Schizosaccharomyces pombe: one gene and its partner. The protein of the gene in region 1 purifies or fractionates together with the protein of each later gene. This does not show direct contact. Each region holds a gene or a part of one and is shown in the gene's direction. Other genes may lie near its edges.

Evidence for each region.
Region 2: the proteins of rpc10 (region 1) and tfa1 purify together in Schizosaccharomyces pombe (affinity purification with western blotting, with the first as the bait; one study listed by BioGRID). This does not show direct contact.

What each region holds. Positions count from the first base shown.
Region 1 is NC_003423.3:1,672,684-1,678,930, forward strand, and holds rpc10 (DNA-directed RNA polymerase subunit Rpc10), read left to right. Parts: upstream 1-2,955; 5' UTR 2,956-3,051; coding exon 3,052-3,127; exon of another isoform or gene 3,128-3,180; coding exon 3,181-3,296; 3' UTR 3,297-3,505; downstream 3,506-6,247. Other genes in the region: ATP-dependent RNA helicase Cdc28, read left to right, coding at 1-1,066; pmt1 (DNA methyltransferase), read left to right, coding at 1,383-1,550, 1,595-2,419; ubiquitin hydrolase Ubp11, read right to left, coding at 3,841-4,893. UniProt on the Schizosaccharomyces pombe protein: DNA-dependent RNA polymerase catalyzes the transcription of DNA into RNA using the four ribonucleoside triphosphates as substrates.
Region 2 is NC_003424.3:4,742,529-4,750,093, forward strand, and holds tfa1 (transcription factor TFIIE subunit Tfa1), read left to right. Parts: upstream 1-2,000; 5' UTR 2,001-2,055; coding exon 2,056-2,162; exon of another isoform or gene 2,163-2,204; coding exon 2,205-2,300; exon of another isoform or gene 2,301-2,341; coding exon 2,342-2,483; exon of another isoform or gene 2,484-2,611; coding exon 2,612-3,571; 3' UTR 3,572-3,664; downstream 3,665-7,565. Other genes in the region: phosphatidylinositol 3-kinase Pik3, read left to right, coding at 1-114; WD repeat-containing protein Atg1803, read left to right, coding at 341-455, 507-607, 656-744, 801-892, 942-1,639; MAP kinase-interacting protein Sin1, read right to left, coding at 3,665-3,755, 3,795-5,678, 5,738-5,760; mid2 (septin ring organizing protein), read right to left, coding at 6,611-7,565. UniProt on the Schizosaccharomyces pombe protein: Recruits TFIIH to the initiation complex and stimulates the RNA polymerase II C-terminal domain kinase and DNA-dependent ATPase activities of TFIIH. Both TFIIH and TFIIE are required for promoter clearance by RNA polymerase.

The sequences.
Region 1 (6,247 bases):
AATTGACGGAGTGAATTTTGTGATTGATTCTGGATTTGTCAAACAAAACATGTATAATCCAAGGACTGGTATGGAAAGCTTAGTATCTGTGCCTTGCTCCCGTGCTTCTGCTGATCAGCGTGCCGGCCGTGCTGGTCGAGTAGGACCTGGAAAGTGCTTCCGTTTATATACGCGTCGGACATATAACAATGAACTGGATATGGTAACATCTCCTGAAATTCAAAGAACAAATTTGACAAATATTGTTCTCTTGCTTAAATCCCTAGGAATTAATAATCTTTTAGATTTCGACTTCATGGATGCTCCACCACCTGAAACGTTGATGCGTTCATTAGAGTTATTGTATGCGCTTGGTGCCTTAAACAATAGAGGAGAATTGACTAAGCTCGGCAGGCAGATGGCAGAGTTTCCTACAGATCCTATGCTTTCTAAATCTTTGATTGCATCTTCAAAGTATGGATGTGTTGAAGAAGTGTTATCAATTGTTTCTATGTTAGGGGAGGCTTCCTCTTTATTCTATAGACCAAAAGACAAAATAATGGAAGCGGATAAAGCTAGAGCGAACTTTACCCAACCTGGTGGTGATCATTTAACTCTTCTTCATATTTGGAATGAATGGGTAGATACTGACTTTTCGTACAATTGGGCCCGTGAAAACTTTTTACAGTATAAGAGTTTATGTCGAGCTCGAGATGTTCGTGATCAACTTGCCAATCTCTGTGAACGGGTGGAAATTGAATTGGTAACTAATTCTTCAGAGTCCCTTGATCCTATTAAGAAAGCTATCACAGCTGGTTATTTTTCTAATGCTGCACGCTTGGATCGTAGTGGGGATTCTTATCGCACTGTTAAAAGTAATCAAACCGTTTATATTCACCCTAGTTCTTCTGTAGCTGAGAAAAAGCCAAAAGTCATCATTTACTTTGAATTGGTTTTGACAACTAAGGAGTATTGCAGACAAATTACTGAAATACAACCCGAGTGGCTCTTGGAAATAAGCCCCCATTATTTCAAGCCAGAAAATATAGAAGAATTGCAAAAGACGCAAAAACGACATAAGCGGTAAAAGAGTGGAAAAGGAAAATTAGTTTTAAAGGCGATTTGGTTGTATATAATCATAATGAATTTATGTTTCACAATAATGGACAAACTTTTAAAAGATCTCATTTAGTTAGCTTCAAAAAGACGTACAGTTTTGTTTAAGTCATCATGTTGTATATTAATTACTTTTAATACTAAAAAACATTTTATCGTTTTTGAAAAGGCCCGAAATGCTCATGACTTTTCAAGCTTAACAAATCCAAGCAAAAAATCTAATGCAGGTAGGTCTTTTGTAACCCTCACTAAACGATTACCGAGTGTTGCATGCTCGGTTACATTCAATGCTTAGTACAAAAAGATTACGGGTCCTGGAGCTATATTCTGGTATTGGAGGTATGCACTATGCATTGAACCTGGCAAATATACCGGCTGATATTGTGTGTGCAATAGATATCAACCCACAGGCAAATGAAATTTATAACCTCAATCATGGAAAACTTGCTAAACACGTATGTTTCAAGGATTTACTCGATAACTATATTAATACTTATAGATGGATATTTCAACTTTAACGGCCAAGGATTTTGATGCATTTGACTGTAAATTATGGACTATGAGTCCCAGTTGTCAACCTTTTACTAGAATAGGAAACCGTAAAGATATTCTTGATCCTCGTTCCCAAGCATTTCTAAATATTTTAAATGTGCTTCCTCATGTAAATAATTTGCCTGAGTACATTCTAATTGAGAATGTTCAGGGTTTTGAGGAGAGCAAGGCAGCTGAAGAGTGCAGGAAAGTTTTGAGGAATTGTGGTTACAACCTAATTGAAGGTATTTTGAGTCCAAACCAGTTCAACATTCCTAATTCTCGCAGTAGATGGTATGGATTGGCTAGGCTCAATTTCAAAGGAGAATGGAGTATTGATGATGTTTTTCAATTTAGCGAGGTAGCGCAAAAAGAAGGCGAAGTAAAAAGAATAAGAGATTATTTGGAGATAGAAAGAGATTGGTCTTCATATATGGTACTAGAGTCTGTGTTAAATAAATGGGGCCATCAGTTTGATATAGTTAAGCCAGATAGCTCTTCCTGCTGTTGCTTTACACGGGGATATACACATTTAGTACAAGGTGCAGGCTCAATTTTGCAGATGTCAGATCATGAAAATACGCACGAGCAATTTGAGAGGAACCGGATGGCTTTACAACTTCGGTATTTTACCGCCAGAGAAGTCGCCAGGTTAATGGGATTCCCGGAAAGCCTCGAATGGTCAAAGTCTAATGTAACCGAAAAATGTATGTATCGCTTATTAGGAAATAGTATAAACGTTAAAGTTGTTTCATACTTGATTTCTCTATTACTGGAACCTCTAAATTTCTAAAAGCGGTTAGAAGTCAAAACTATTTTTTTAAAATGAAAGGAAAATTAATATTACTCGATAAAAGTTCTGCAAAAAAAGGCACTTATTTCAATTGGAATTACCCTTTAATGCATACAGTGTTTCTGAATGCTTTATATAACTAATTACCAGGACTAATTTCAAGACAAAGAAATCGTATATTTATACACTAAAAATTGGAGAACTCGGGGAATACATTATTTTTGAGCTATTGTATTTATCCTCACACGTACACATAATTGTTATGAAATATAAATTAAACAATCTAGTTATTTATCGATTTAAATTTAAAATTATGTATCCAGCCCTTTATTCTTTTGCTAGATTTAATAAAGGTTAAATTTAAAAGAACGTCAAAATTAGATACGAAATTATATTTGAAGTTTATATATCCAATAAATGGAAATGTACTTGAAGTACTTTAAATGAGAACTTTTAACTCATTAATGTATTATAAGATTAGCTTCCCAATTTTTTTTGAAGCGTTAATATTGAGAATAGTATGGTAGTAAAAATTTGCGCGCTACTACTCACCACCACAATTAGAAAGTTCAAGTGAGGAAGTAAAATCACAGGATTTAACTAGACTCAAATACACTAAAAAAGTTTACAAAATGAATCATCCAACCTCCACTGGCGGTACCGCTTTCAATCCCCCCAGACCAGCCACTATGATTTATTTATGTGCGGGTATGATCATTGAGTAGAATTAAATGAGTATATGATAAAAGACTGACCATCAGATTGCGGAGCGCGTAATACAATCCAAGCGAAAGAAGTTATTCGTTGTCGAGAGTGTGGGCATCGTGTTATGTACAAAATGAGAACCAAGAGAATGGTTCAGTTCGAAGCACGCTAAGTTTTAGAGTTTTCAGACTATGAAAAGAGAAAAACGGAATTATAACTTTTAAAATTTGAGAAATGGCTTAAAAATGGTGTAATATGCAGGTCCTTATGCTTAATTCGAGAAATTAGAAGGTCCTGGGGTTAAATGGATAACCCATGACAATAATAACATTTTGGATATTTGATGCATTAAAAACTGTGAATTGTACATGATGAGTATATCTAAAATTTTTTTTAGTAAATTATAAGTCATTTGGCGACGGTTTGAAAGTGCCATGTGTACTTTAACCATGCCTATAAAAAATCGTCCACTTGAAAATCTTAAAGTCAAGAAAACCGATTTTATGGACAGATACGGTGGATACATACATACATATATTTTCATACACAAGTTTTGCAAAATATTAGTATTGAATGCTTTAGCTACAAAACAACAGGTTATAATTTGAAGCTTTCAACAGTTTATAAAGGGTGACATCAGTCGGAATCATTAGGAGAAATATCAAGAATTTTTTATTAAGGTACAAAAACGTATACGATTAACTAGCATATATGCGCTAATCAAGCGCAAGAGGAGATTCCATTTCGTAAAACAAAAGACAAGCTGAACGAGTTTGACTGAGAGCTTCATTGAGAGATGATTTAGTAATTAAAGAATCATTAGCCTTCCACCAAATGTCATCTTGAAGTCTATAGCAAAGATAATGACCATAAGTAACACTTCCGGAATGGGTGATTAAGGATCGTAAAATATAATGATGTTTGTTTTTTAGGATAAGTTTGCTAGGAAATGAGATAGAAACATTATTTCTGGTTAAACCTTGGCAGGTATATGATGTTCTCTCAAGTTGAATTTGCAAAATCGTAGGAGGATTTTTCCAATCAACGGTACGAATGCATGAAGTTTTGGAATGTTTTGGGGAGGATTTGAAGCAAGAGTCACATTTATAGTCAGAGATGTGCTGTTCGCGATCGGCTTCCATTAAAGAGAGCAAGGAAACGTTAGAATTTCCACTGTACTCCGGAGGTAGACAAAGCTGTATCGATGTGGCAGTAGAATAACTAATACTAATGGCAAGGCATTGACAACATTGTACCTTTTGCTCCATAGTTCCTATGAATGGCGAATCTACAGGAAAGGAGAGTACCTTCGACCATTTGTAAGTGTGAGGTTTTTGAAGTTCCAAAGTTTCCACTAGATGTTGTAGAAACTCTTGTGCATCTTGTTGAATGGAACGAACAAGTTTTTTATTAGTGGCAATCTCTAATGAATTGAGGAAGGAACCGGGAGTGATTGGATTACCGGGGCCACTATTTAATTTTTGCAGAAGTTCATAAAGGGTAGCGTATAAGGTAGAGGAAGAACAACGGAGTTTTAGGATTTCCAATAATGATTCTTGACTTGCTAGGGATTGCAAAACACAATTGAGGAAACAATCGTTACCCGAAACATTGTAAAGGCCTTTGATGGAGGCGTTTTTCACCAACCTCTTGCCAGTGGAAGGAGAGGTAACGATGTAAAGGGCAGCAAACGTAGTTAAAATGGCGGCACCCTTGAAAACTGTTTTGTATTTTTTTGCCCTAGAAATGGACAATGGCGTTGTAGACATGATAATGAATGCATGCAATGAAGAATTAGGGAAAAGAAATTATTAGAGGTAACAGAGAATATAATTTACAAAAGAAAAAAAAAATTTATGCATAAAAACAAATTTTTTTTGGCAAGGGAAATAAGAATAGAAGACGAGCGTTAAGTCACAGCATATATCCACTAGGTTGTTGTTACTAGCTTTATTGGTATAAACGATAACACGAGTCCAATGGCGGTGAGGTAAAGGACACGATAATAACGTACAATATAGGTATAGTTAGGGAGACGAGGTAATAAGAACCAAACTTTTTGAGCATAAAACAACCTTTTTAGGAAATAATCAGTGATAGGATGAGTAAAAGTTTGAAAGTTTTACAAAGGCAAATTTAAAAAAAAAAACAGTTGTCAAAAAAAGTGTCAGCAATTAGAATGTTGTCGAGTAATGCGACAAAAGACACAAATATTACTTTTTGGGAGGAGGGAGTCAATAAATAAATAGATAAAGTTGAAAGTGGTAGAATGATTTTACCTTTGCAATTTTAGCGATCGCAATAGATGAAATAGGCGATAAGATATGAAAGGATAAAAAAGAAAAAGAAATTAAAAAACGTTAGGAAGTAATTGTAGAGAAATGAAATAGCACAATTTAAAAAAAAAAAAATAAGAAAAGAGAAAAAAAAAGTATAGCGATCCTATCAAAGAGAATAAATTACGATGGAATCAAGAACAAGAAAAAAGGCAAGAGGCGTCTATAAGAAACAGACAAAAGTTTTTTCGAAGAAGAAAAAAAAAGGGATCCAAAAAAGATGGGAGATTTTTTTCACTTGATTATGTGTGAAGGATTTTTTGTAAGGTAAGATTAGACGATGGGGAGGCAGTGCCGATTTGTCGGTATGGATTGTTTTTTGATGGAGAAATTAAGATAAAAGTAAAGGTATTAAAGTTTTTGCAGAGAAAGCTCACTCATTCACAAGTACGACACAAAGCAAATAATTTGCAATCAGATATGTGTATAAAAGAGCAACCTTTAGAGAAAAAAAGCAGGTTGGAAGAGAGGGACAGGAGGGCCAAACCCTCAGCATAAATATGCGCCTGATGAGACGAAAAAAAGGTTTTTTGCATTGGCAGCGACGTTTGTATTTGCCGGCAAGCCCAAGGGGTTGCAATGATGCGTAAAAGCGACGATTGGTGGAAGAAGGAAAAGAATGAAGTTTTATTTGTGCAGCCCTCCGCATACCAGTTAGGGAGATGCAACATGATTTGTTAGGGAGAAGAGAGGGAGGACAAGGAGGACGAGTAGGAAAGAAGGTGAAGTGGAGGAAGAATAGGGAGGAAGAAGGAGAAAGAAGGAAGAGTAAGGAGAGGGAAAGAGA
Region 2 (7,565 bases), on another chromosome or scaffold:
TCTGAATCAGATGCCATCAAATATTTTGAACAATTAATTAATGATTCTGTCAGTGCTCTGTTTCCTCAAATCATAGATCGCATGCACAATCTTGCGCAGTATATGCGATCCTAAACATTAATGACTTAATGATTATATGCCCACATTTACACTTTTTTTTTTATCCAAACTTGCTTTTCCATTATAGCTGTTGTTGAACTAATACATTATTATGCCTAGTAAAAAGGTTGTGTTTTCTAAAGAAAGTGATGAATTGTATAATTGACGGTGTGTAATTTACCGAATTCACCGAGAACAATCTAAAGTAGTTTTGCATAATGCATAAACCCCACAAATTGGAATGTCAACTATTAATACTGTATCATTAAATCAAGATGCCTCATGCATGTCTGTTGCGCTAGATACAGGCTATAAAATCTTTCAAATTAACCCTCTAAAGCTGCGCGCTCAAAGACGTAAGTTTTGCAATATGCAGATCTCTTATTTGAATATTTACAATTGTCTAGAGTTCAATGACGGTGGTCTTTCAATAGTCAAAATGCTTTTTAGAAGCAATGTTTTACTCTTAGTAGGCGGCGGTGGAAATCCAAAATACGCACCAAATAAGGTAAGTTTGAGTAATGCTTTGTTTTCTTTTAGCTAAGCTTGTTTACAGCTTATTGTTTGGGATGATGTGAAAGAGAGGCCGGTAAAAGAGCTTGAATTGAATTTTGAAATAAAAGGAATATGTTTCGATGGGAAATTGTACGTTCTTCTCTTTTATATTGCTTGTCGTCTTATTAACAACTAACATATCTAAGATTAGCAATTGCAACCGCATCAAAGCTATTTTTGTACCAATTCGGAAATAACTTAAAACTACAAAGATGCCTTGATACCCAGAATCCAAAAGGTAAGACATTCTTTGCTTAGCATAGTCGAAGCTGACTTTTGAAATGTAGGCTTATGCGCTATGGTTACTACTGTTGAGAAAACTGCTATCGTTTTTCCTTCTAGAAAGGTCGGCCAGCTGCAAATATTATTTCTTTTTAAGGATCATATGAACACTAGCATAGTGCCTGCACATGATAGTGAGATATCATGTTTGGGTATATCCAAAACTGGTTCAAAAATAGCATCCTCTTCAACAAACGGTACTTTAATTCGTATTTGGAATTCAGAAACTGGAGAAAAAATTTGCGAATTTCGTCGTGGCTATCAACACACGGCAGTTTGTCAATTAGCGTTTTCTCCCGATGAATTATTGTTGGCTTGTGCAAGTAAGAAAGAAACTTTACATATATTTTCTCTTCACGGAAGTCCTAATACAATTCGTCAATTAACGTCTGAAGAACCTTATGAGGAAGCAAGTGAATTTAAATCTTCTACAACCGAACCCCGTCAAACTCACTGGAAACGAAAATTACTTAAGTTAATTGATAGTGGAAAACGTGCACATTGGAGAATTCAGCTTTATCAATCTAACCCTGTACTTTTACATTGGTTAGATGAAATGACTATTCTTATTTGTTACAAGGATGCTGCATATCAGAAATTAAAGCTTACGATTGAAGAATCTTCCAAAAGTGTGGAACATGCTAATCAACATGTATGCTTTCATTATGATTATACACTAGAGGCAGATGGGTCTTTATGCTGATGACTTTCGATTTCTTTCTAGTACTTTACCTTTCTACATTAGATAATTTTGTATATAACTTTTCAAATAACGTCTCATTAATGATTTTATGTTAAACAATGATACTATCCTAATTGTGCATGAATTTTAATACGTATCAAGTTTTAGCTAGTTCACCGAAGAATTTATTGAACAACGGACATTGTGAATAAATTTATAGTAATTTAAGGCAATGGACCACTTTTAAGACTATTATGTTTGAATGTCATTTTAAAAGATGTTTTCTAAATTAACAGTCTTCATGACTATAGGCATTTAAAGAGTCATTAGTTAACGCCTTAAGCAGTGTCTTTTTGTGGTACATTCTCCACTACTCCATCACCCTTTATTATTCGCTGCAAAAACCTTCCTTCGATTTATCGTATCATTTATCTACTATGTCCAATGCTCCAGAAATAGTACAGAGACTTATAAAAATGATTATGAGGGCGTTTTACGAAACTAGACATATAATATTTATGGATGCGATTTTGCGACATTCAGCGTACGTGCTTCACAAGATCAGAACGATTTTAACCTTTGGTAGACTTACAGATGAGCAAACAGCGCTGTTAATGGGTATCCCTATAAAAGAATGTCGGTTTATTGCTGGAAAATTGCGCGAGGATCGTTTATTGGCAATGTACGTGAAGGCAATTCCATGACCAGCTGCTAACCTTTCAGTCAAAGTAGGACGGAAATGAAGGAAGGCCAACAAAGGCAATATCATACAACCTATTTCTATATCGATTTCTGTTCTACGATTGACAGCATTAAATGGCGTATGCACCAATTAGTGAAAACAGTAGAAGATCGAATGCGAAATGTAAGTTCCTTTTTTAATTGGGCCTTTTTTCATAAAAGGTTTACCATATTGTTTCCTTCTTTTTGCTTAGTGTTTTACCCACTACTTTTACGAATCTCTTATTATCGTCACTTTCACTAACTTAGCAGGATTTCGATTCTAAAGGCTATGTTTGTCCATTTTGCAACAAAAAGTTTTCTAGCCTTGACGTTTTGTCTTTGGTGACCAACGAGGGAACTTTTGCTTGTAACGTTTGTGGAACCGAACTCAAAGACGATGAGGAGAGTGCAGAAATGATGTCTAGTCAGAAAAGGCTAGGAAAACTGATGGGACAAGTTAATGGTATAATCGATGCATTGAAAAGGGTGGATGAAATTGTCGTACCACAAAACAATTTCCAATCTGCTTTAGAACATGCGGTTCCTGTTTCGTTAGACACCCAAAATTTGTCGCAACAAAACTTGTCAAAAAGTAATTCAGACGTCCGTCTTTCCACCTCTTCGCCATCTATTACAGTTGATTTCTCTGCTGATAAAGAGACTGATGAAAAGCGTGAAAGGAATTGCGACAAGCAAGTCAAAGCTGCTCAAAACATTCTTCCCGAATGGCATGCAACATCAACAATTTCTGGCTCCATTACTCGTGCTGGAGCTAAAGATGCCGCACTTCATAGTTTTAGAACTGAAACTGTTAATGAGGTTCAAGACACTAAAACAGATATTACTTCTGAAAAGAGCGCCTTAGATGCTTATTACGCAACACTTCGTGCAAAGCAAAAAGAGGAAAGCGAGTTTATGGACAGTGAAAACGTAGATGATGAGGAGGATGATGACTTCTTAGACGTTACGACGGCTACCTCTCTTCAAAACAAAAGTACTGATTATGGGTCGGTCAAGCGTAAAACCGAGAACCTAAATTCAGATAGTGATATCCAAAATAAAAGAACAAAATCGATAGAAGAAAACAATTCATTACCACCTATTGTTTCTACAAATGGTATTACTGATGGTGATACGGAAATGCAAGAAAGTAAAAAGAATGTTATTATTAATGGATTTAATGAGGACGATGAAGACGATGAAGATGAAGCTGATTTTGAAGATGTTTAATAAAAATGACATAGGGGAGAGAGCAATGTGATACCAAAAAACAAAGGTGTTTATACCTATGTATTCATAGAATCTTTTTGTAATAAATAAATGTTAATTTATTTTTTTAACAGTATTCATCAGTGCACGTATCCTGCTAACTATAATGGCAGCTTCCAAGGCGGACAAAACTTCAAAATCATACCTGAACTCGTTAGCTTATTAGCGTTAAAAAATTTCTTACCGCTTAGTTTCCCTATTCTTGGACACAATCATTTTAAAATTACATGGTGATTTTTTAGACTGCTTGCATAAAATAATCGATCCAGCATGTATACTGGACGTCTTAGGCGTTTCAAATATATTTTTGGATTCAGACGGCATTATGTGAACGTATTCTCCATCAATAGCTAGTAGACGCTCATGTCTTCCCATAAATGAAACAGGTTGTCGTTTCCATACAAGAAATTCTTGATAGGTATTGCTCGACATAATATCTGTTGCATTGTATGTTGAAGATTGTGCATCTTTCTTAATAGATCCATAAACGGAATTTTGTGGTGAGGAGGTTGGCAATTGTTGGGTACTTCCTTTTTTATCGCGTACCTTCTTTTTAACAAGTTCTAGAGTTGGATTTCCGTCTAGTGAACTAAATGTTTTATCAAGTGGTAAAACAGTATCAGATCCAGCAACTCGCAGAGTATACTTAAATCGCTCCAATTGCTTCATCCAACACACCTGGTTCAACACCATAGCCAATCTAGTAGTTTTTGATATTTCAATATTGCAAAATCGAGCATTATCCCCGTATGGGGGAAGTCGTACCTGTACGACATGAGAAGTATTAAGTGTATCTTTGACATCCTGAGCTTGCTTTTGTGATTGACTTGAAGTTGAACTAGTATGCCGAATATGCGTTTTGTTATTGGCTTCAGGAATTGATGTTGGATGCTTCGATTTAAACGGGTAGGCAGCTTGATTTTCCTTTATTTGGGCAGGAGTGGCTTTAACTAAAGCAAATGCGTCAAAACCAAATTTTGATAATGGACCTACACGGTCCAAAGCGGGAAAATCTTCATCTAGCTCCCCGTCATCTTCAACAATACGTAAATTCCAATAATTCGGATTTTGAGCCTCATCTTCTATTGGGGGCACGAGTTGCTGGTTAACGTATTGAAGTAAAATATAACCGATAGCCTCAGAGACCAAAACATTCTTTCGGAGTTCTACAAATAAGGGCTTTGAAGGACTTTCGCTCGAAGGAAAATAAATGTTTAAACGGAGGGCATTTGATTCTGCATGTCCAGAAAAAGTAGCAAAATTTTCAGCCAATGGCCCATTCTGGCTACTGTTTTCTTTATGTTCAAGTAATGCACGAAGAGCAGATGTAGGAGCCTTTGCGTTCGAAACAGATCTTGCTTTATTGACTGTATTGTGTGTTCCGCGTTGCTTACCAGGAAAAAGAGCATCAACCGCAACAACTGCATCAGCTTCAGTGTCAGTTAAGGAAGAATTCATTGGAAAAGTAAGAGGAATTTCTCCTTGACTTAAATGAAATGATTCCTCAGAAATCGACCGTAGATCATCATAATCCGTAGAAACACTGCTTTGCTGGTTTATGGAAGACTGTTTGGACGAGGTTAAATTCACTGCCTGCGAGGATTCTACCATGTTGGTAAGCTTAAGATTTGCGATAGCATCAATATTATTTAATGTGGAAATTTTGGGGTCCAGTCTTTCCTCTTCTTTTATACTTGCAACATCCTTCTGCATTGGGACTTTGCTAAAAGAAAATATACACGAGTTATCGTCATCACCCACATCTGAAGATTCGGATAAGTCAGAAGTAGCATAATCAGAATCTTCAGCTCGAGAATGATTAACTTGACCCCCAGCACCATTTACTTGTTTAGTATCACTCGGCTTTCGGACATTGGATACAGTGTCATTAGCGACAATCGGGGGACTTGAAGAAAACGAAGTTTTAGAATAATCATAATCATGAATCAACAAGTCTTGCAATGATTTGTCCAATTCCCATTCCGGGGCCTCAGTAGATATAACTCGATTTTCGATTGAGTCAGGAAGTATATGAGAATATTGCATTCGCAAAAATGTTAACAAAAGACTGTAAAATAAACGTATTAGTTTGTATAAGTTTCATAGGAAAAAAAATAGTATCCTTACACTTTCTCTCTTGTTAATTCCATTCTGAGTCCTTATTATATCGCATTTACAGACTTTATAAAATATTTAATTTCAACGAAGTTTGAATACTTAGCGACCATACTTTTTATGGCACCTTAATATAGAAAATTTGTAAACTCAATTATGTGAAACGTTGGTGACGGACGCCGCGTGCTTTATTTCAGTTGCTATGTATCCCCCGCTAAGCATTTAATTAAGTGTTGGGGGTAACACCGTAAAGTACCACCAAATTTCAAAAGACAGCAAAATATGAACGAAACTATTAATTCAAACAGTTATTAACTGAAGTACAAAAACGCTAGACAATGAAAAAAAGTGATCTCATATACGTTTTAGATATTGCGAAACAGCTAAAAATGGTATTTGAACTATATAGCAATTACGGTATTAATTATTTACAGAATAATGTAATTAAATTATTGTGGAATTTTTATTTTTTGAAGTTTCTCAAATGGCAAGCTTACGACTTAATAAATTCACTCGACAACGCCAAGCTAGAGTATTTTAAGGAATTTGATTTATTTACAAAGCCAAGATAAACGTTTTGAGACAACTTATTTTGACAACGTTTCTTCGGATCAAGGGAAACTTTCAAAAATGAAGTATTTTGCAACTGAAGTATAAATATACATGGGGAGTAGTAAGTAATTGCTATCCGATTTTTAACAGCTTATATAAAACGAGCTCATTTCAACCGAATCTAGCTTCTCGATGGTAGATAAAATGAACATTATGTATTATGCGAGGGAAACAACAAAACCAATGAAAAATGCAAGACGATATAGATAAAGGAGAAGATAAAGACCAAATGTGATTTAAATAGAAAAAGTGAGGTCGAAGCAAATGGTCAATTTAAAAACTCAGCGAAAGAAATGATTTGGTCCAATTTTTGTGAACCATTGAACATTGCCCCAAATGCTGACGAAGTGTAGACATCCACTCATCTTTTTCGCCGACGGTTTCAGCGTAAAAATCGATGTAGTCCCCATTACTGAAAATGATACGGAAACCCGATTCGAAATACAGATACCCTTCTAGTTCTTCTTCATCACTATAATGGTTGTCATCCACGATATGTGTGGCTTCAGACAAATCAATCGTTGCTCTGCGAACTTTAGAGAATTGTTGAAAAGCTACTAACTTTGATCCTATTAATTGAAAATAGCGACGACGCCAATAAGGGCAATCCCCACCTTGTTGACATAGATAACCATCACACAATAAAGTTCTATCCCATTCAGCAAGCTTTAAGTCATACATGGCAGACTCGATTGAAGCGGGAAGTTCTTTCAGAGAGACAGGAAGCGCTGGTAAGAAAAATACGTGGATTTCGAGTTCTCCTACTTTTCGAGGGAGAGGCTTGACATCTTTAGCTGCCGGATCAACAGTCCATTTGTTCATGATTGGTAGAACCATAGATTGACAACGGCCTAGTGCGGTTCGGCTTACAGAATCAGTGTTAATGGTAACTTCGCCGAAAGTTCCATCTTCAGAAACAAATCCATGAAGTGCTTCTGAAACGGGGTCGGTAGTCATAGACTTTCTCTTATTTGTTGAAAATACTTTTCCAAGTGTAGAACGAGTGCGAACCTTAGGTGGATCGTAAGCCGCACGGAGCGTACATACAATTGAAGAACTAATACTTTCATCAAAAGTATACTCATTTTCAATTTTAGTAGTAGAGTGTAAGGCGTTCCATGGTACTTGAATGTGCTTACCAGAGATTGTATAAGTGAACCTAGTGGTCATCCCCGATGCCAAAGGAATAGTTAAGTTTCTGATTTCCATAAGACGGACAAACAATCTT